4 linked regions of the Macaca mulatta genome follow. The protein of the gene in region 3 interacts with the protein of the main gene of each other region in a pairwise test. Links are inferred from orthologs where the notes say so. Each region holds a gene or a part of one and is shown on either strand. Other genes may lie near its edges.

Region 1 (5,034 bases), on a different chromosome or scaffold from region 3:
TTTCAGTTACATCAAAGGACATTTTAGGTAGTGGGAACTACAAAGGTGTGCAGGTAAGAATTGTGCATTTGAGGAACTAATAATTCTTTTGATTCAAGTTTAAAGGAAGTTACATAAATGTAAGCTGAGAAGAGGGAGATAGCTTTCTTAAGATCACTCTTTGCTATGTATCTAATATATGACTCCTAACACTGAACTCTGCAGAGACCATCTGGTGCAACGTCCTCATCGTTTAGCGTAAGAAATCAGGCCAGAGAAACATCACAGGTAATATGATGTTGAGCTATGGGAATATGATGTTGAGCTATGGGAATATGATAGCTAGTTAGTGGCACTATTGTTTCTAATCTATTTTTCTGCACATTTGAAATTTTTTCACAAAAAGTTTTTTAAATAAAGATTACATAGTTTTGACAATATTCTCAACAGGCAAGTAAGAGCAAAATACCTTTCCCAATCAAATTCCCAGAATTTTCAGCACCACGCATCTTTAGCACTAAAACTTATTTATGAACATAGTCTTAATTTGAAACGTGTGTATGAACATTATAGCCCCATAATCTTAAAATAATCTAGTACCTAAGTCCTGAAAACAGTACTCTGACTCTCAATTTTCTGGCCTTTTCCCCAATATTTTCATTTTGAAACAGAGAGAACTTGAAAGTGTGGAAACTTCCCTAATATTATGTGAGAAGCAGGGTCAAATAGGCCTGCTTTACTTCTTTGTGCAATTCAGTCTACACTATACGAATAAAAAATATGAAGAAATGTTACTTCTCAAAATAAACTTCCTCCTTAATACACTTTATATAATTTAAAAAGTTAATACATGGCTTCCTTAAAGTAAGTTATACCTGTCATGCCAAATTAGTCTCATTTGTTTTAATATTTTAGCTGATATTCAAGAAAATATTATTTCTACAGTGTCTTCCATCTCCTGCCTACCTATCCTGAATATATGGTGTTTTTAAAAGTGATTTTAAAAAGATAAAAAATATGAAAATTTAAAAATTTTATTTAATTTGATCTTTAAGTGTACTGGTATCTCTGAAAGTATCAAATAGTCAATACAGCTTACCTTATTGCCTGAATGTTATATCTTGAAACCCAGAAGGAAAAAAATAGTATTTGTTTAAAAGTCAAACTGCAAAGTTTTTTTTCTTAACTCAGAAAAGCTACATAAATTTCAGATACAAGCATTATTGAGTAAATGATTAACAGCTCTCACTATATAAAAACTACTTTATAACAGCAAACTACTGAGCACTCCCGTGTCAGGTGCTATATACAATGTATATTACGTGTCAGGTGCTGCTGTATATTGCCTAATTAATAACCTTTAGGTCAAATCCTTTAAAACAACCCTTTGAGGTAGGTACCTGATGCAAGGGATCCCTGTAGCACACTGTGAGAAGTGCTGGGAGAGCAGACAAGGGCACAGGCTTGGATTCCAAACCTAACTTCAAATCTTAGTTCTGCTACACTTTTTAGTTGTGTGGCTTCTGGTAAGTTACCTAACCTCTCTAAAAGCCTGTTTCTTTCTGTGTAAAATGAGAGTAATAATGCTTACCACATACGGTTAATACAAAGATTAAATAAGATAGTGCTTACAAAGGGCAGGTGAAAAATAGAGAGTAAAACCAAAAGAGGACTTACAGTAAGCACTCCATAACGCTTTAGGTAAAGAGCATTACTTTCCCAATATGCCCAGAGTTGTTCTTGTTCTATCCACTAACTGAAATATTTAAAAAGACCATTTCCTAGTTGAGACTCTACAAAACCACACTTTAGAAAGAACATTCCCATCTCAGTCTCAGCATAAGCCAATAAATCTACTAGAATCATCATACTGTTACATAAATTATATCATAAATGTGAAATAAACTTTAAATTCTCACAGTTTTATTTTCTTTCCCATTGTCGTCGGTCGTAAATATCAATTGTTTATTAATTTCATCCATACTAATTAATGATCGTGTTTTGATGAAGTGTTGAAAAGAGACAGCTTCCACATATTCCTGTAGTCCTGAAAACACGACAAAGAAAATTAACTCAGAATAAGCACTTAATTATAAGAATGTCATAATAAAAAACTTCAAATTGATCATCATCTAGCTCAAAAAAAAAAGCTTAATGGATGCCTACTATAATGCCACTACTAGACTAGATACTTGGAATAGAAAGAATGGCATGGAGGCCGGGTGCGGGGCAGGTCAGGAGTTCGAGACCAACCTGACCAACATAGCAAAACCCCATCTCTACTAAAAATACAAAAATTAGCTAGGTGTGGTGGCGGGCACCTGTAATCTCAGTACTAGGGAGGCTGAGGCAGGAGAATCACTTGAACCTGGGAGACGAAGGCTGCAGGCTGCAGTGAGCTGAGATCATGCCATTGCACTCCAGTCTGGGCAATGCGAGCAAAACTTCATCTCAAAAAAAAAAAGAATGGCACAGATGGTGGGAACTGCCACTGAACAAAGCAAACATTCCTGTGACAGCTCATATATAAATGTATTCAGTTTCTTCTTTCTACATCATAAGTCATTAGTCTTAAAATTCTACTTTATCCTACAGAGAGAAATATCAAAGATTTTTAGGGTTTTTTTTTTTTTTTGGAGACAGAATTTTGCTCTTGTTGCCCAGGCTGGCACGATCTTGGCTGACTGCAACCTCCGCCTCCTGGGTTCAAGCAATTCTCCTGCTTCAGCCTCCAGAGAGTAGCTGGGATTACAGGTGCCCACCCCTACGCTTGGCTAATTTTTGTATTTTTCGTAGAAACGAGGTTTCACGATGTGGGCCAGGCTGGTCTTGAACTCCTGACCTCAGGTGATTCGCCCACCTCAGGCCTCCCAAAGTGCTGGGATTACAGGCGTGAGCTACTGTGCCCAGCCAGAAAAAAAAAATTTTAAGAGTTTAAGTAATAAGGATTTAAGAAAAGCCTATTCTTGCTGGGCGCGGTTGGCTCACGACTATAATTCCAGAACTTTGGGAGGCTGAGGTGGGTGGATCACCTGAGGTCAGGAGTTCGAGACCATCCTGGCCAACATGGCGAAACCTCGTCTACTAAAAACACACAAAAAATTAGCTGGATGTGGTGGCAGGAGTCTGTAATCCCAGCTACAGCTACTTGGGAGGCTGAGGCAGGAGAATCGCTTGAACCTGGGAGCCGGAGCTTGCAGTGAGCCAAGATCGCGCCACTGCACTCCAGCCTGGGGTACAAGAGCGAGACTTTGTCTCAAAAAAAAAAAAAAAGAAAAGAAAAGCCTATTCCATAAATTTTGATAGACTTTAATAAAAATTATACAAATTGATTTTTGTTGTATTTTGCTGGTTAATGAAGCAATGATTCAAACAAATGAGACACAAAATTAAGAATCATTTGGGCCAGGCATGATAGCTCATGCCTGTAATCCCAGCACTTTGGGAGACTGAGGCGTATGGATCATGAGGTCAGGACATCGAGACCATCCTGGCTAACATGGTGAAACCCCGTCTCTACTAAAAATACAAAAAAATTAGCTGGGCATGGTGGCAGGCACCTGTAAGTCCCAGCTATTCGGGAGGCTGAGGCAGGAGAATGGCGTGAACCCGGGAGGCGGAGCTTACAGTGAGCCAAGATAGCGCCACTGCCCTCCAGACTGGGCGGCAGAGCAAGACTCCGTCTCAAAAATAAATAAATAAATAAATAAATAATTTTTAAAAAACAGAATCATTTGGATCTTTCTTAAAGTTTTAATAGGCAAAATCACTTTAAGTAATGTAGGTAAAAATGTGAAAATACTGTTTATCTCTTAATAGTTCAAAATGGATCTAAGACTAGGTAACTCCTTTCTGCTTTGGTAGTTTAAACAAAAAAGAGTTATGTAATACAGTTTTGTACAAGATAGAAACAACTCTTGAAAAGTAAATTTTGGTAAAGATCAAAATGTAAGTATAGTTTTAAAATTTTTTATATAAATGTAAAGGCCACACGTGCAATTTTGTTACATGTCTACAGTACTATACTTTTCCAAGTGTTTTAAGACAACTACATTCTATAGCCACAATTTTCAATATTATTTTATTATGTCTTAATCTAAAAGGTGATACATGGAAAAAGCATTTCTTAATTATAATTATTGTTAGCTTAAGAAACTTTGTCTTTTTAAGGGTTTGTTGTAAAAACAGCAAGAGAATACATTTCTGATTATGCAAAGAAAACTCAGAACTTAACAGGATCATAATACTTAAGTTCTCCAACATTTTTTATGACAGAGTCCTGCTACTTACAAATCTCCCCCACCTGACACTACACTTCGGGTCTGCCGGCAACAGTGTTGGGGAGGCTAATAGCTATGGTATCATCACATCAAACACCAGGCAAAGGTCAAGGATACCAGGGAAAATGGGTGACCCTGGTTTTGGTAGCACTAAGAGTAAACTTAACTAAATGAAAATATCCCGACTCATTCTGAGCTGCAAATGATGCCCAAATATAGGTCAGAAGGGATAATTTGTTTAACAAACTATAATGTTCTGAGCAATTAAACATTAACAAGATTAAGTTTAACAAAAGAGAGGATGTCATTTATATTTATAATTTAAAATATTTTTATTAAATGTTTAATTTTTTGAAGTATTAGTTTTATGAATAGGTGACACCATCCAGTTCCCCCCTCAAAGAAAATCGCTGTTATTTCCTTCTAAAGATACTTCACGCACACAAAAGCAAACAGCAAAACGTAAAGATTAATAATCACATCTCTATGCTCTAATGTGGCTAGCCTCTTACGAGCTAAACAAGAAGACATGCACAAAGATTTACATACAAGGATGTTCGTCATTGTAACAAAAAAATTTTTTAAAGTTAGAAGACCAGTAATAGGTGTATCACTTGTCAATTTTTGTCTCTTACTTCCATTATTTCAGAAAAAAGAGGTAGATGCTTAAAGCATGTCTCCTATGCCAGCTGGCAATATATTAAGCGTTGCTGGTACAGGGTGCTAGGTGCTCAAAGAACTGTAAAGGAAAGAGCTCTCTGCCTGGTTCTGCTGT
Region 2 (4,843 bases), on a different chromosome or scaffold from region 3:
TAAAAATATATTCCAAAATAGGTTGAATTGATGGTTTAAAGTTAAAAAATTAAAATTGAACATTAAAAAGTTCAATTCGGTAAGTTTTTAATTTATTGAACATCTATTACATGCCTAACACTGTGCTTGTCAGGTAGAATTATAATGAAGAAAACAGTTCTTACTTTCAAGGAGCTTACTGCTCCTATTAGTGAAAAAAAGCATATATGTGACAACTAGAGAATACAATGAACCAGGATAACTTTGAATAAGACAAAAAGTGTATATGTAAGAAGCCCAAAGTAAGATAAGGTCAACGTGGGCTGCAGAGACTGGGGGGAAAGGTTGTATGTAAGATAACTGGTAAAAACCAGAGAACAGAGAGCAGAGAGAAGAACTTTTCTGGTAACATTAACAGCAAATCTAATAATTGGTTCTAGGAATGAGTATCAAGTTTTGAAAATTATACATACACACACGTGTGTGTATGTATGTGTATATATATGTGTGTGTGTATAAATATGTGTGTTTTTTTTAACTGCCATTCAGGAGTACTTTAAATTCAGGAATACCTTTGTGTACAAATACTTTTGTATATTCCTGAATTTAAAGTACTCCTGAATGGCAGTTTAAAAAAAAGTCAAGGGAATAACTTTATCACCTTGAGTAGTATATGGTAATAGTGGAGGCAGACAGAATTAAACAAAAACAATACGTATCAACCAGCCAAAACCCATTTCTTCAAAGTCTAACCCATTACTTAATCTGTTTCACTTGAGCATAGGTCGAATTTGTAGAGCTGACCCAGACTTTGGGTGAGTACCTAGTTCTCTATTTAGTTAATAATCAATTTTTATTACAGATATTACATTTATCATAATAAAGTGCTTAAAATTTATACTGGTATAGCTATTATGGAATATATATCATGTTTTTCAAAATATAGTATATATATACTAGCTGAGTTTTAAAAATGATCATTCTTCTATTCCTTTCAAGTTTCTCTTATGCAATTTCAAGAAAGTGTACAAGTTGTATAATCTTCACTCCAAAACATACAGAAATTTTTACTTATTATAGCCTTAAAAGCCAGTAAAATAAAAATATTTGTTTTAAAAATGTCACTTCTTTCTTTCTTCCTTTCTTTCCCACAATAAGAATAAAAGTAATAATATTCTGCATCTTTTATTACTTTCCTATAAAAGGCAGGGAGGCTTATTTGTGACATTCATATATCATTAACTTATATGAATGATGATTTTGTCCATAGGCAGATGGCTACATGAGGTGACTTGAGGGTTCCTGGGAAAGGCTCCCTCTGCCTTCTGCTCCAGCAGTGTAATAGTGCTGCAAGTTCAACCTACGGAGTCATTGTCTTGGAATTAAATATTATATTCCATGATTTTTCTGTTAAAATAATAAAACTGTTAGCTATTCTTAGTTATTACATCTTAACAGAAGTATAGAGTTTTCCTCACCATCCCTGTCCTACTCACTATAGCTAGCTGAGTATAGGTCCCCAGGGAATGGAACACAACACAGCCTGTTTTGGGAAAGAGGAAATCATGCTTTAAGGACTGGGGCACTGCTTAGGAGCCAGGTTTATGTCTGGTAGTGAATAAGAGACCTGCTGACATAAGGGGTATCATTAAAGCATTAGAGGAGAGAAGGAAGAGGAAAAAGAATGCTAAAAGGGTAATTGGAGGGCTGCTAAGGCAAGTTTAGTTTACCTCACAATTTCCCCAAAGCAATTTCTGAATACATAACTGAACCTATTTGTTCACTTAAAAAATTTTAACTTGGAGAGTTACGTAGGAGGTCCATGTTATTCCAGTGGGACAGATGGCTCTATTCTGTCATAGGCCTAAGTGACTACCATCCATCTTTTCACTAAATCCCATATACAGACCTCAAATTTGGAAAGTCGTACAGAGATACAACACTGAATCCACATTTTATCTTTTTATTAAAATCTCTTAGTAAAGCCTTCTTACACTGTCTTGATGCTTCTTCAGTTTGGAGATTTGTTCTCCTTTAATTTCCATTTTCTTGACTAAACACTCTAGTTCACATTCTATGTCGTCACAGACTGAATGGCTTTCAGTTTCCTTCATTTGTTTCAGTAGTTCTTGGTGCTCCCTATGAAAGAATAGCAAATATTAAGCACTACTATAGTTTATTGCATATATGTCTTTGCCATAATTAAGCAATTTTCTGTTCAATCATAAATTTTAGTCAGACTTAAATATTAACCTTTAAAAACAGCATCTTTCTTTAGGGTTGTTTAATTAAATCTACAGTAACTATAACCAGGCTCCTGTGATTTGAAATTAAATACCTTTACAAATATCTTAAGACTGCTAAGCAACTTTAAAAAATATGTGAATTCCTGATGCTCATAGCTCAATGTAGTAAAATGTGTGATGTCTTTAACAGAGGTATTAAAGGGCTTTCTTCCTCATTATTGATATAGGATCTTTGGAAGAATTCCAGCTGTGGAAGTATTTGCCTGAAAAATTTCTGGATTTGGAGTTAGCCTACTGAAATGCTGTTAACAGAAACAGCTGTATCTTCTACAGATGTCTTAGGTCAACTAGCTGGTCAGCCAAACCACATAGTTCTGGAATTTCTATTGAATATATATTTAAGCAAGTGGGCACAATATAATGTATCCCATATGGAAATCTTCCTTACTATAGATGCTTCAAAATCTGTAATGCAGACCAGCCAGAGTCTAAAACAAGGAATTACATTCCTACTTGTCTAATTAAATAATTCATTCAGCTAAAAGATTCTAAAACACAAAAGGAGAGCTTTTCTTATAAACGCTTTTGTGAGTTTTAATCTAAGGTCATCAGATCCTATATGTTAGAATGACAGTAGTAGCTATCAGTCCAGATCTTGGGAATACAGAAATACCTTAGAATGAAAAAGTAGTAGTTATAAAGAACTGAAATTTTAAATAGTAACAAATACAATGAAAAATAGTGACAACAAATCTTTCCAAATGGCTAAGTAAGGCCTTTAAGAATTTATAAGTGGTATTGTTCTTAAGACTAAGAAGAAAAAGTGATATGGTACTTCTCCTGATAAAGAATAAAAATTGCTGGCCAGGCACGGTGGCTCACGCTTGTAATCCCAGCACTTTGGGAGGCTGAGGCAGGAGGACTGCCTGAAACCATGAGTTCAAGACTAGCCTGGGCAACATAGCAAGACACTGTCTCTTAAAAAAAAAATATATAAATACTTACATGCTCATTTGGTCCAGCTCATCTTGCATTGCCATCAAAAGTTCAGATAAATTGTCACAAATGGAAATGGACTTTTCTGAGTCACGAGGAATAGCCTTACACCAGGAAGTTGTTCTAGAAGGCCTGGGGAGACATCTAGTCTCAGCCACGTTAAAAGGTTTCTGAAGGATATGTGGGCCACGATGTTGCCTCCTCTGCAAAAGGTTTTGCATACTTGCATTCACAGAACAGTTTGCACTGGTGGACTTATGGGAAAAGAAACAACTGAGAATAATTTTAAATGACTGAAGATATTTTAATAGCACTTACAATGAAACAGGAATTTTTTTGAACAACTATCTTCATTTTATCCCCTCTCACCTTTTCAGCCACAAAAGGCAGTGCTCCAAACTTTGAACAAATTTGCCAAGGTGGTCCTCTCTTTATACATTTAGTTTTCTAGAGATTGACAAGAAAAAAACATAAATAAGAAATTATTTTAAAAGTTATTTATGATATGAAGAACTCTCAAAACTCAACAGAAAACAATGCAACTGGAAAATGGGCAAAAAGACATGGACAGAAATTTCACTGACAAAGACATATGTATGGCAAACATATGAAAAGATATTCAACATCATTAATTATGGAAATGAAAGTTAAAATTAGTGAAATATCACTGCACATCCATCAGAATGGCCAAAATAAAAAATAGTGACAATACCAAATGTTGGCAAGCATGCAGAGAAAATAAAACCACTCACATATTGTTGGTGGGAATACAAAATGGTACAGCCATTTTGGAAGACAGTTTGGCAGTTTCTTATAAAACTAAAAATGTACTTATTACATGACCCAACAATTGCTCTCTTAGGCATTTATCCTAGAAAAATGAAAACTTATGTTCACATAAAAACATGTATACAAATGTTCATAGCAGCTTTATCTGTAATAGCTAAAAAATTGGAAACAATCGAAATATCCTTTTTTTTTTTGAGACAGGGTCTCATTCTGTCACCCATACTGGAGTGCAATGGTACAATCTTGGCTTACCGCAACCTCTGTCTCCCAGGCTCAAGCGATTATCCTGCCTTAATCTCCCAAGTAGCTGGGATTACAGGTGTGTGCCACTACTGCCCGGCTAATTTTTGTATTTTTAGTAGAGACGAGGTTTCACCATATTGGCCAGGCTGGTCTTGAACTCCTGACCTCAAATGATGCACTCGCCTTGGCCTCCCAAACTGTTGGGATTACAGGCATGAGCCACCATGCCGGACTCCAGATATCCTTTAACAGATGAACAGTTAAATTGTGGTACATCTGTAATGCGGAATATCACGCAGAAATAAAAAGGATGTATTGATACATACAACAACTTGGATGGACCTCAAGGGAAAAAAGCCAATCTCAAAAAGTTACATACTGTATAATTCCATTTATATAATAATATTGAAATAATAAAATATACAGATGGTGAACAGATTAGAGGTTGCCAATGTTCAGGGAAGGGGATGTGTAGCTATAGAGGGATTGCATGAAGGAGTCTTTTAGTGGTGGAAGAGTTCTGTATCTTGATTGTTGTGATAGTGACATGAATCTACGCATATGATTCTCTCATAAAATCTACACATGTG
Region 3 (5,233 bases):
GCTCTCTGGAACACCTGCTGTCTGCTCCCGCGGGGGACCACCCACCCACAGCCTGGGTGCACAGAGGGACCCTCCCCTCCCCTCTGGCCCTAGGCACCCGGCGGGAGCATACCCTCTCTCTCCCACTCAGACACAGCATCCTGGGGCGCGTGAGGCTGTCCCTGTCCCACCAGCCACACTTGTAACTCCCCTCGACCCCTCTCCTCTGCCCACCAGTGCACCACTACGGGCGGGCCGTCATCATGTTTGGCGTCCCCTACGTCTACACACAGAGTCGCATTCTCAAGGTGAGTAGCTCTGGCTCCCAGAAGTCCCAAAGTGTTAGGGCCAGGGGAGGGACGGCTCCCCCACCCCCCCAACTCCTCGTCCTTCATTTCTGCAGGCACGGCTGGAATACCTGCGGGACCAGTTCCAGATTCGTGAGAATGACTTTCTCACCTTCGATGCCATGCGCCATGCGGCCCAGTGTGTGGGTCGGGCCATCCGGGGCAAGACGGACTACGGCCTCATGGTCTTTGCCGACAAGGTGCAGGTTCAGGGGTGCCCCTGTGCTCGCACCCCAGCCTCTGAAAACCAGGCTATTTGCCCGTTCATCTCCCAGATGGGGTGTGTCACAGGGTGGAGGGTGGCCCAGGCTCCCTGACTCTGGTGCTGACGTCCTCTCCCTGGCCTGCACTTCTGCCCACAGCGGTTTGCCCGTGGGGACAAGCGGGGGAAACTGCCCCGCTGGATCCAGGAGCACCTCACAGATGCCAACCTCAACCTGACTGTGGATGAGGGTGTCCAGGTGGCCAAGTACTTCCTGCGGCAGATGGCACAGCCCTTCCACCGGGTGAGGCCTGCATCCCCCTCCCAGCATCCTCCCAGGCTGAGCTCCTCCTCCAGAAAGGCCCCTTGGATTCTCCCCACTCCCCAACCCCAGCCTGTCCTCCTGCCCTCTACAGAGAGAAGTTTATTGTGCATCTGCATGCCAGGCTCTGGGGGGTAGGGAGAGATTCGAGGGGCCACAGATGCCAGCAGGTGGCCCAGGCAAGGCAGGGTGAGAATTTGGGGTGAGGAGGTATCAGGCATTGAGACTGTGCTGGCCTGGGGAAAGCCCGTCCTTCTCCGACGCCCTGGCTGGCTCCTCCCTCAGCCCCCTCTTATGTGGACAGGAATGGCCCACTCTGGATTATACTGACATCTCCAAATTCAAACATCCTGGCCCTCATGTCTCAGACCCCTAATGCCCATCGGGGGCGGGTGGTCGGGGAAGTACAGCAGCTGCCTGGGCCCCTTCCTGACAGTGCCCCCCTTACTTTCCTCTGTTCTCTGCAGGAGGATCAGCTGGGCCTGTCCTTGCTCAGCCTGGAGCAGCTGGAATCAGAGGAGACGCTGCAGAGGATAGAGCAGATTGCTCAGCAGCTCTGAGCGGGATGGGCAGGGCCATAAATGATTCCTGGTGACTCCTGAGTCTTGCCTGGCCCTAAACCAGCAGCTCTGAGGCCGTAGCGGGGGTGGTGCTGGAAGGTCTTATAAACTCAGGTGACATTCCTCACTGTCACATCCACGGCCTTTAATCGCAGAAGAGGGCAGGGGGCACCTAAGAGATGATAGACCCCCCCCGTCCCCCACCAGCTGAGGCCAACACAGGTCACTGGATATTAGCGGGGACTCAGGTCCTGGGTGCTGGTGCTGAGTGTCCGAGGGGCCTTGTCCAGGTGCCAGCTGGGGAACTGGAGACAGGCACAGGGGATGGTTGGAGGGGAGGGACAGGTGCTGCATCCAGCCTGGCAGCCAACCGTCTACCCATCTCACCTCTACCCCAAGTAAAACCCATCTTTGCTCCTGTCCTGGGTCTCTTTTAACACACCCACCACCTGCTGACTCTGACGCCGGCCTGACCGCCCTGCTTTTGCCTTATCTCTGCACCTACCCACGTGGCCCCACTCCATTTTTGACCCCGGTGTCCCCTCACCTGAGTCCCAGGAGCCCTTGGGCCATCCACATTGAGTGTGTTGAGCGACATGGCTCTCTTCATTCTGCGAAGGGGGCAGCAGGGAAGAAGCGAGTGAATCCAGGAGTGGCCCCTCCAGGAGGGAGCTTTCCAGCACAGGATTTGATCTATGTGTATCACAGGGGAGATGGGAGCCATGGAAGGTTCTTGAGCAGGAGGGGTGGGGGGTGGGCTATGAATTCTGCTGATGTCAGGGCTCTTTGCCGACCTGATCCACACTCACCCGGCCGCCCCCGCCGCCCCCTCGCCTCGGAGGCGGGAGACCAGCTTCTCACTTCCTCGCCGGATAGACTCGCGGATCTTAGAGAGGGAGCTGCTGCGGCGAAGGGCCTGGGGAGGGGCAGGGATGCTGCTCATATCTCCGAGCCCATGCAGTCCTCACGCCTTCCCCAGGAGCCGAAGCACAGCCCATCCTCACCTGTTCTGTGTCACCAGCTGTGCCTGTGTTGGGGGCACCTAGGGGAAAGATGGGGGACACCGAGATGGGGACGTAGAGAAGCCACCAGGAGGGAAGGCAGGGGCTCGGGGCTCACCGAGAGGGGCAGGTAGATCCTCCTTGTGGAGGATTTCTTTGTACAGCTCTTCCGCTTGTTGGTACTTGTTCTGTTTCAGGTAGGCTGAGGCCTGCGGAGAAGGGAGTGTCTTGGGTGATCTTGGCTCTAGTCTGGGAACTTTTCGGACCCCAGTTCCCAACACTGCATCCAGTCCCACTTTTTTTCTTTTTTTTTTGTAGAGACAGGGTTTTGGTATGTTGCCCAGGCTGGTCGTGAACTCCTGGCCTCAACTGATCCTCCTGCCTTGGCCTCCCAAAGTGCTGGGGTTACAGGCGTGAGCCACCACACCTGGCCCCAGTCCCACTTTCTACTGTGCTGACCTGGCCATATCCCGCCCCTGCCTAAAGCCTTGCCCTGGGGCAGAGGGGGTTTGGAGCTCCGCCCTACCTCCTGCCTGGGGGATGGAGGGCAGGCAACCTCCTGTTTCTGAGCCTGTCTGCTCTACTTTGGGCTGGTGGCATGGCCTCTCTTCTCACATGCAAAGTAGAGTGACAGCTTCTACCTCATAGGGACACTGTAAGAACTAGTGATGTGGGGACAGAGCTAAGAGGGGAGCCGGCCACAGTGAGCTCAATAAATGTCTGCTGCTGCCATCTGTGCCTGCCAGCTTCCCCTTCACTGACTGTCCTGGGTCCCGTGGACTCACGCATTTCCTGATTCCGTGTTCTGTGCTGAGCCAGCTCCTGTGTCTGATAGGACACTTGCTCCAAGGGCCCTGCCTCAGGGGGACCCCTCCCCATGGTGCCCTGTACCCAACCAATGGGTGCCTCCCCAGGGCAGACCCTCCACTCTGGGCCCACTCAGCCCCAGGGACCTCACCAGATTGTTCTTGGTCTTGGCCACGTTGGGATCATGGGGCCCGCCCAGGGCCTCATAGATGCTCAGGGCCCGGGCGTAGTGCCGTTCCACGTCCTCAAACTTGCCCTGGTTCTGGCACAGCAGGGCCAGGTTGTTGAGCTGCTTGGCCACATCAGGGTGGTCAGCACCTAGGACCTGGGGGCCAGGGGTCACAAGTCAGAGGGGTCATACAGGATTGGTGGGACACGTGACATCACTTCTGTATGGTGGTCACAAGTTAGGGATTACAGGGCCAAAGCAGAGTGACCTGAGAGGTTGGGGGCTGGGGCACAAGTGACACCGTCGAGCGGGATTACTGAGGTCAGAGGCCAAGGTGATCCAGAAACTCACGGGGCACAAGGTGAGATGGGTAGGTCAGGGCTGGGCTTGTGCCAGTGGCCATGAGGGGTTGGAAAGGCTGTGGCGGGACCTAGTTGGGGGGTGGCGTGTGAGGTAAGGCAAGAGGTCAGAGTCAGGGTCAAGACCAAACTGGGATCTCAGAAGGTCGAGGGTGATGGGTTGGGCTCCAATTGGGGTCTCCCAGTACCAAACGCAAGGGGCCCGAGGATCAGGGTCACGATGTAAGTGCTCAGGATCCATGGAGAGGGCTACAAGGGGTTCCTCGGGGTTGGGTAAGGGGGATGGGACCTTCTCTCGGATCTCCAAAGCGCGCTGGCACAGGGGCTCTGCCTCCCGGTAACGCCCGCGCTTCCCATAGAGGACGGCCAAGTTGTTGAGCGTGGCGGCCACCTGTGGGGTTGGGGGAGACACAGGTCAGGGATGGGCAGGCATGGCCCCACTTCGTCTCCCTGGGGCCCCACTCACCGCAGGGTGCTCAGGGCCCAGCGTCTGCTCCCGGATCTGCAGGGCATCATGGAGGAGCTCTGTGGCTTCTTTGTACTTGTTCTGGTCCCTGTGTGGAAGCCCAGGGATGGCGGGGGTTGGCCGGGGGTTGGGGCAGCTACAGCCACAGGGGCTGGGCTAATTCTGGCAGGTCCAGGGAACCTGGCTGAACCAAGCATGGGTAGCACCCTTTGGGGGCCTTTTATGGGCCCTTACATACCTTCCAATTCTCTAACACCAGGCCCTGTATCCCCAGACCTCTGCCAAGCTTCTAACCACCCCAGTTCTCTTGCCTGCTCTTGGGGTCCCTGGTGTCTGTGCTCTGACTCCTCTCTGCCTGACTCAGTGCCCCGCCAACCCGCCAGATCCCTGGCCCACTCCCTCTTTGCCGTTCTTACAGCAGGAGCCTTCCCTTCCTTTCCCATTCTGGCTGTCCCCTCCTCCGACCTCCCCAGGTGCTCCATGGTGGCAGAGGGGACCAGGGTCCCTCCACTTGCACCCAATGGGTCCCTGCCGTTCCTGCCCCCTGCCATCATGGCCGGCCGCATCTCACCGGTATACCAGTGCCAGGATGTTGAGCATGGTGGCCACGTCAGGGTGGCAGTGGCCCGAGCTGCGCTCCAGGTCCTCCAAGGCCTGGCGGCACAGGGGCACCGCCACCTCATACCGGCCCTGCCCCGCGTACTGGATCACGAGGTTATGCAGGGTCCGAAGGCGGGCAGGGATCTCATAGCCACCCTGCTGAGCTGCTGCTGCTCCTGCGGCCTCAGGACCTGGGTGGGGCAGGGTGGGCTCTGGGTCACTGCAAGCCTCCTAAGCCTCCTGCCCCTCCATCCTCGCACGAGGAGACACACGCCCCAGACTGCCTAACTGGCCCCTGGGACTATGGGCCCCCATGTTAACTTCTGAGATTGGAGTCACTAGCATCTAACCAGCTGGTGGGATGCATCCTGGCCTCGGGACAGGTACATGGCAGCTCACTTGCCCTGCAAGATGTGAATAC
Region 4 (5,198 bases), on a different chromosome or scaffold from region 3:
ACAAAAGCAAGGGAGAATGAGGGAGGAAGAATGAGCAAGACCCAGAGATTTAGAGGGAAGGTTCCGGGCAGACAGGACGCGTGCGCCCAGGGCAAGGGTGGGGATGGGGCTCTCTGATGACCACTCACCTCCAGCTGTTGCCTGGGCTTCTGGACCCGAGGTCGCAAGCGCCGTTTTTGGCGCCTGAGTCTGGCAGAGTTCAAGCCCCGGCCCATGGCAGCACACACCTGCTGTGTCCCAGGGGCTCTGGAGGCCTGGACTCTGCCCAGCCCCCTCCCCAGCTCCTGCTAGCCAGTTCCCTCTAATTAACCCTGGTCAGCCCCACCCCGGCCCCAAAACTTGTCTGACCAGCGGGGGAACGCCCTGGCACACCCAGATGCCCAGCGTGGGGAAGCAGATGAGTCGGGGGTTAACCTCTGGCCCACTCTCTCTAGGCCCTCAAAGCGGGATGGGCTTGGACGAAGGTGACAATTGTCACAGCTACTGCAGTGACTGGCAGGTACCCTGCATTAGGGGTTTATCTGCATTACTTCATTTCATCCACTAGAGGGAGAATCACTAATGTCCTGGGTTTAGATGAAACTGAAGCTCATAGTTGCTAAGTGCCTTGCCTAAGGACACACAGTCATTTATTTTTGTTTTTATTATTTATTATTATTTTGTTGAGACAGATCTTCACTCTTTTGCCCAGGCTGGAGTGCAGTGGAACAATCTCGGCCCATGGCAATGTCCGCCTCCCAAGTTCAAGAGATCCTCCTGCCTCAGCCTCCCAAGTAGCTAAGATTACAGGTGTGCACCACCTCGCCTGGCAAATTTTTTTTTGTTTTCTTAGTAGGGATGGGGTTTCACCATGTTGGCCAGGCTGGTCTTGAACTCCTGGTCTCAAACAATCCACCCTCCTGGGCCTCCCAAAGTGCTGGGATTACCAGCGTGAGCCACCATGCCCACACAATAACTTCACAAAGCAGGGATGCCAACTCAGGCAGCAGAACTTTTAACCAAATCCTGTAGGGACAATACAGCTTCAGGATTAAGCTGTCAGGTTCAAGGTCACATTGTCCTGGCTGATATTCAGCTCTGCTGATGCCTTGTGGCCTGGACACAATATCTCTAAGTCCATTCACCCACACTACTATCAATCCTCCCATATTTCCTGAGCTCCGCTTGCTCTGGGGTCTGCTGTCAGCGGCACATGAGACCACCAAGTTCACTGCTTCAAGTAGCTTAGAGTCCAGAGGGCATGGACACATGCCGGAGCCAGGTAATTTCAGGGGGACAGTAAGGGCTGCAAAGAGACCCAGGAAGTGATGGAGAGTAAGGAGTGGGGTGGGGGTGGAGGGTCCTTCAAGGAGGATGTCGTGTTTGAGTTGACTTCTGCAGGACAAGAAGAGCCACCAGAAAGAAGGCTAGGCATTAAGGGACAGCAAGTGCAAAGTTCCTGAGGGAACAAGCGTGAGTTCTTGGAGGAACTGAAAAGAGCCCTCATTGTCGGGGAGAGGGTGGATCGGCTGCCCTTCTTGGAGGAAGGGAGAAAGGGGTGGTGTTGCTGTGGTGAGGTCAGGGAGGAGCCCAGCTCGCTGGGACTTTTAGGCTCTGGGGAAGAGTTTCGGTTTCATTCTAAGTGTGAGGGGGAGATTCTGGTTGAGGAGTGAAATGATGTGATTTGCAGCTTTTGAAAATTCCGGGCTGTCCCTTAGAGAATGGGCTCCAGGGGTCAAAGGTGGAAGCTGGGGGCTGGGCGCAGTGGCTCATACCTATAATCCCAGCACTTTTGCAGGTTGAGGCAAGTGGATCACCTGAGGTCAGGAAGTCGAGACCAGCCTGGCCAACATGGTAAAAACCCGTCTCTACTAAAAATACAAAAATTATCTGGGCTTGGTGGCACACACCTGTAATCCCAGCTACTCGGGAGGCTGAGGTGAGAGAATCACTTGAACCCGGGAAGCAGAGGTTGCAGTGAGCTGAGATCGCACCACTGCACTCCAGCCCGGGCAACAGAGTGAGACTCCATCTAAAAAATAATAATAATAAAAGAGTGGAAGCTGGGGACTCAGGAGCAGGTGGCTGGAGTGTCTGGGGCAGAGGTGATGGAGGCTGTGATCTGTGATCAGCTTGGAGGCTGCAGAGCCAACAAGTGGGTGGTTGGAGTCTAGTCTAGAAGAATTAAAAGGGCTTGTGGATATTGGGGGGAGTTTGTACATTCAAGAAAGTTTGAGCGCATTGACTCACACCTGTAATCCCAACACTTTGGGAGGCTGAGGCAGGTGGTTTGGTTGAGCCCGGGAGTTTGAGACCAGCCTGGGCAACATGGTGAGACCCCATCTCTACAACAAATGCAAAAATTAGCCAGGTATGGTGGTGCATGTGTGCCTGTAGTCCCAACTACTCAGGAGGCTGAGATGGGAGGATTGCTTGAGCTCATGAGGTTGAGGTTCCAGTGAGCTATGATTGCACCACTGCACTACAGCCTGGGTGACAGAGGGAGCCCGTGTCTCGCCAAAAAAAAAAAAAAAAAGGCCAAGGAGGTGCACAGGCCCTGGTCCTCAAGTGGGAAGGCAAGGATGGGGACAGCAGGTGATGTGGGCATGGAATCGAGGGTGTGGAATCAAGTGCCACTTGTGTTGAGATGCCCACTAGGTGGCCTGGTGGAGAGGGTTAGCTACCCAGGTCAGGCTCAGGGCAGTGGTTGGGGCCAGTGCAGCAGATGAAGGAGGGTGTTCAGGAGACCAGATGTGAACCCCAGAGCAAGAATTTGGCCAAAAATAGAACCTGGGTAGAGGGAACTGTTCCTGCCTCATTGGGCTGGGCAAGAATCAATGGAGAGTCATGGAAAGCACTCAGCCCAGTGCCAGGCAGGGTGTAGACACCCATGACTGTTGCCTGGTGTTCTGTGATACTGCTGAGGAGCTAGACACAAGATCCAGAGAGGGCCAGCAGCTGACCCAGGGTCACACAGCTGGACAAGGGTCTGAACCCAGTTTTTTATTTTTTATTTTTTATTTATTTTTTATTTTTTTTGAGACGGAGTCTCACTCTGTCACCCAGGCTGGAGAGCAGTGGCATGATCTTGGCTCATAGCAACCTCTGCCTCCCAGGTTCAAGTGATTCTCCTGCCTCAGTCTCCCAAGTAGCCGGGACTACAGGTACACCCCATCATGCCTGGCTAATTTTTTTTTGTATTTTTAGTAGAGACGGGGTTTCACCATGTTGGCCAGGCTGGTCTCGAACTCCTGACCTCAAGTGATCCTGCCACCTCAGCCTCCCAAAGTGCTGGGATTACAGGTGTGAGCCACCATGCCTGGCCTGAGAATTCACGCCTTTTTTCCTTTCCCTTCCCTTCCTTTCCTTTCTTTTTTTTCTTTCTTTTCTTTTCCCTCCCTCCCTCCCTCCCTCCCTCCCTCCCTCCCTCCCTCCCTCCCTCCCTCCCTCCCTCCCTCCCTTCCTTCCTTCCTTCCTTCCTTCCTTCCTTCCTTCCTTCCTTCCTTCCTTCCTTCCTTCCTTCCTTCTTTTTTTTTTTTTTCAGGATCTTACTCTGTCATCCAAGCTGTAGTGCAGTGGATCATAGCTTACTGCAGCCTCAAACTCTAAAATTCCTGGGATCAAGTGATCCCCCTGCCTCGGCCTCCTGAGTAGCTGAGACTACAGGTGCCACCACCACATCCAGCTAATTTTCTTATTTTTTGTAGAGACAGAGTCTCACTATGTTGCCCAGGCTGATCTTGAACACTGGGCTAGTGATCTTCCTGCTTTGGCCTCCCAAAGTGCTGGGATTACAGGTGTGAGGTACTGTGCCCGGCACCCAGAGTTCCTGTTATTTACCACTAGGCAACACTGCCAGGGGGACTGGACCCAGCTCTGATCTGTTCCAATGTCCTCCCCCTGCCCCGCTGTCCTCCCCGGCTCCTCTCTCCGTCCTGTGCCTGACCCCCTTCCCTTGTCCTCTCCAGGCCCACCCATCCTCCTCTGCCCACCCGGCCACCCACCCAGTCCAGTGCTAGCTCACTTCCTCACGCTCCAAGTGCTGGGCGCTCAGCGTCTCCAGCTGCCGCCGCAGCTCCTCATTTCGCTCCAGAAGCATCTTGCCGAGCTCCGCCGCCAATAGCAGGTCTTTCTCCTTCTGCTGCAGCTGCAAGGCTAGGTCCTCGGGCTCCTCAGGCCCTGGGCCCCCTCCCAGGAATGAGTCCCTCCGCTCCAGCACAAAGGGGAAGAAGCCCTCGTCGCCGCTGGGAGAGGCGCCCCCCGAGAGCAGCCCCGACGGGAAGCTGGGCCCATCTGGAGAATTCATGTCACCTGCAGCATCTGCGGGGACAGGTGACTGCGGGACACTCTACTCTGCAGTCTGACAGGGGCTCACCCTCCGCCCAACACCTGGCCCTCCAGGAATTCTCCACCTGCTGCCAGCCTGCCAGGTCCTGCAGCCAGGGCTTCCTGAGCCACGAAGGGTTAATGACCTGTGTTTTGGCCACCCAGTTCCGTTAATGTCCCTGGGGTAAACTGAGGCAGCAAGCAGAAGGAAATGACCTGCCCAGCCTTTGGCCTCTGCTAGACAATCTCTGTCCCCAGGAAAGTTCATTCCAGTGCTCCAGGGCCACAGGCCACCTCCGCTCCCTCTCCCCTCTCTTCCCAGAACCCAGCAGTTTGGCTCCTAGCCCCTTGCCATCTGAGACAGTTCCCAGAACCCAGGTTCTCAGGGACTCAGCAGTTGGTGTTGAGCCCAGCCCCTTCTCCTCCTAGGAATGCAGGACCCTAAGACTTGGGAACTGAGGTGTCTTCGCCCCCAGGAATCCAGCTCCCTTCCCTACCAGAAGCCCGGATCCCGGCTGCTGACCTCCCAGCTCTCTCGCACTCATTCTCCTGTTACCTCCTGAGCAGGTGCTTTGACTCCACCCTCCAGACTCAGAGGTCCCCACCTCCAATGTCCCCCACCAAGGATTCCCACCTCAGTCCCCACTTTCCACAGGACTCAGGCATTCATGTCCCCACCCCTCCGGAGTCAGGAGTCCTGACCCTCAACCCCCCAGTTTCCCAGGGCCCTGGCGTAGGGCCCAGGACAGGGCGAGGTAACAGGTTGTGCCGGCCGCCCGACTGCAGCGCGGCTCGGAGTTTCTGTTTACTTCCTGGCCCGCCCCTGGGGACGGGAGCCCCGCGCTCCCCTAGGGTTGCTCAGGGGTTGGGGTTCAGGGGCTCAGGTCAGAGGG

What was found.
Region 1: the proteins of KLC3 (region 3) and TSNAX interact in binary tests that used the Homo sapiens proteins (3 or more experiments, as listed by UniProt). The two-hybrid records come from large-scale screens. The link is inferred for Macaca mulatta from reciprocal best matches to the Homo sapiens genes KLC3 and TSNAX.
Region 2: the proteins of KLC3 (region 3) and CEP57L1 interact in binary tests that used the Homo sapiens proteins (3 or more experiments, as listed by UniProt). The two-hybrid records come from large-scale screens. The link is inferred for Macaca mulatta from reciprocal best matches to the Homo sapiens genes KLC3 and CEP57L1.
Region 4: the proteins of KLC3 (region 3) and BICDL2 interact in binary tests that used the Homo sapiens proteins (3 or more experiments, as listed by UniProt). The two-hybrid records come from large-scale screens. The link is inferred for Macaca mulatta from reciprocal best matches to the Homo sapiens genes KLC3 and BICDL2.

What each region holds. Positions count from the first base shown.
Region 1 is NC_133406.1:17,464,924-17,469,957, forward strand, and holds part of TSNAX (translin-associated protein X), read right to left. Parts: intron 2,027-5,034; coding exon 1,899-2,026; intron 1-1,898.
Region 2 is NC_133409.1:14,268,192-14,273,034, reverse strand, and holds part of CEP57L1 (centrosomal protein CEP57L1), read right to left. Parts: intron 3,669-4,843; coding exon 3,591-3,668; intron 3,476-3,590; coding exon 3,231-3,475; intron 2,119-3,230; coding exon 1,974-2,118; intron 1-1,973. UniProt on the Homo sapiens protein: Centrosomal protein which may be required for microtubule attachment to centrosomes.
Region 3 is NC_133424.1:57,870,213-57,875,445, reverse strand, and holds the end of KLC3 (kinesin light chain 3), read right to left. Parts: intron 5,004-5,233; coding exon 4,784-5,003; intron 4,301-4,783; coding exon 4,213-4,300; intron 4,138-4,212; coding exon 4,036-4,137; coding exon of another isoform or gene 3,763-4,035; exon of another isoform or gene 3,739-3,762; intron 3,544-3,738; coding exon 3,370-3,543; intron 2,621-3,369; coding exon 2,530-2,620; intron 2,453-2,529; coding exon 2,415-2,452; intron 2,346-2,414; exon of another isoform or gene 2,327-2,345; coding exon 2,220-2,326; intron 2,022-2,219; coding exon 1,958-2,021; intron 1,829-1,957; exon of another isoform or gene 1,716-1,828; coding exon 1,644-1,715; 3' UTR 1,535-1,643; downstream 1-1,534. Other genes in the region: ERCC2 (general transcription and DNA repair factor IIH helicase subunit XPD), read left to right, coding at 217-287, 383-526, 689-832, 1,318-1,410. UniProt on the Homo sapiens protein: Kinesin is a microtubule-associated force-producing protein that may play a role in organelle transport. Plays a role during spermiogenesis in the development of the sperm tail midpiece and in the normal function of spermatozoa.
Region 4 is NC_133425.1:4,275,041-4,280,238, forward strand, and holds part of BICDL2 (BICD family-like cargo adapter 2), read right to left. Parts: coding exon of another isoform or gene 4,916-5,198; exon of another isoform or gene 4,580-4,915; intron 4,316-4,579; coding exon 4,004-4,315; intron 699-4,003; exon of another isoform or gene 216-698; coding exon of another isoform or gene 129-215; intron 1-128.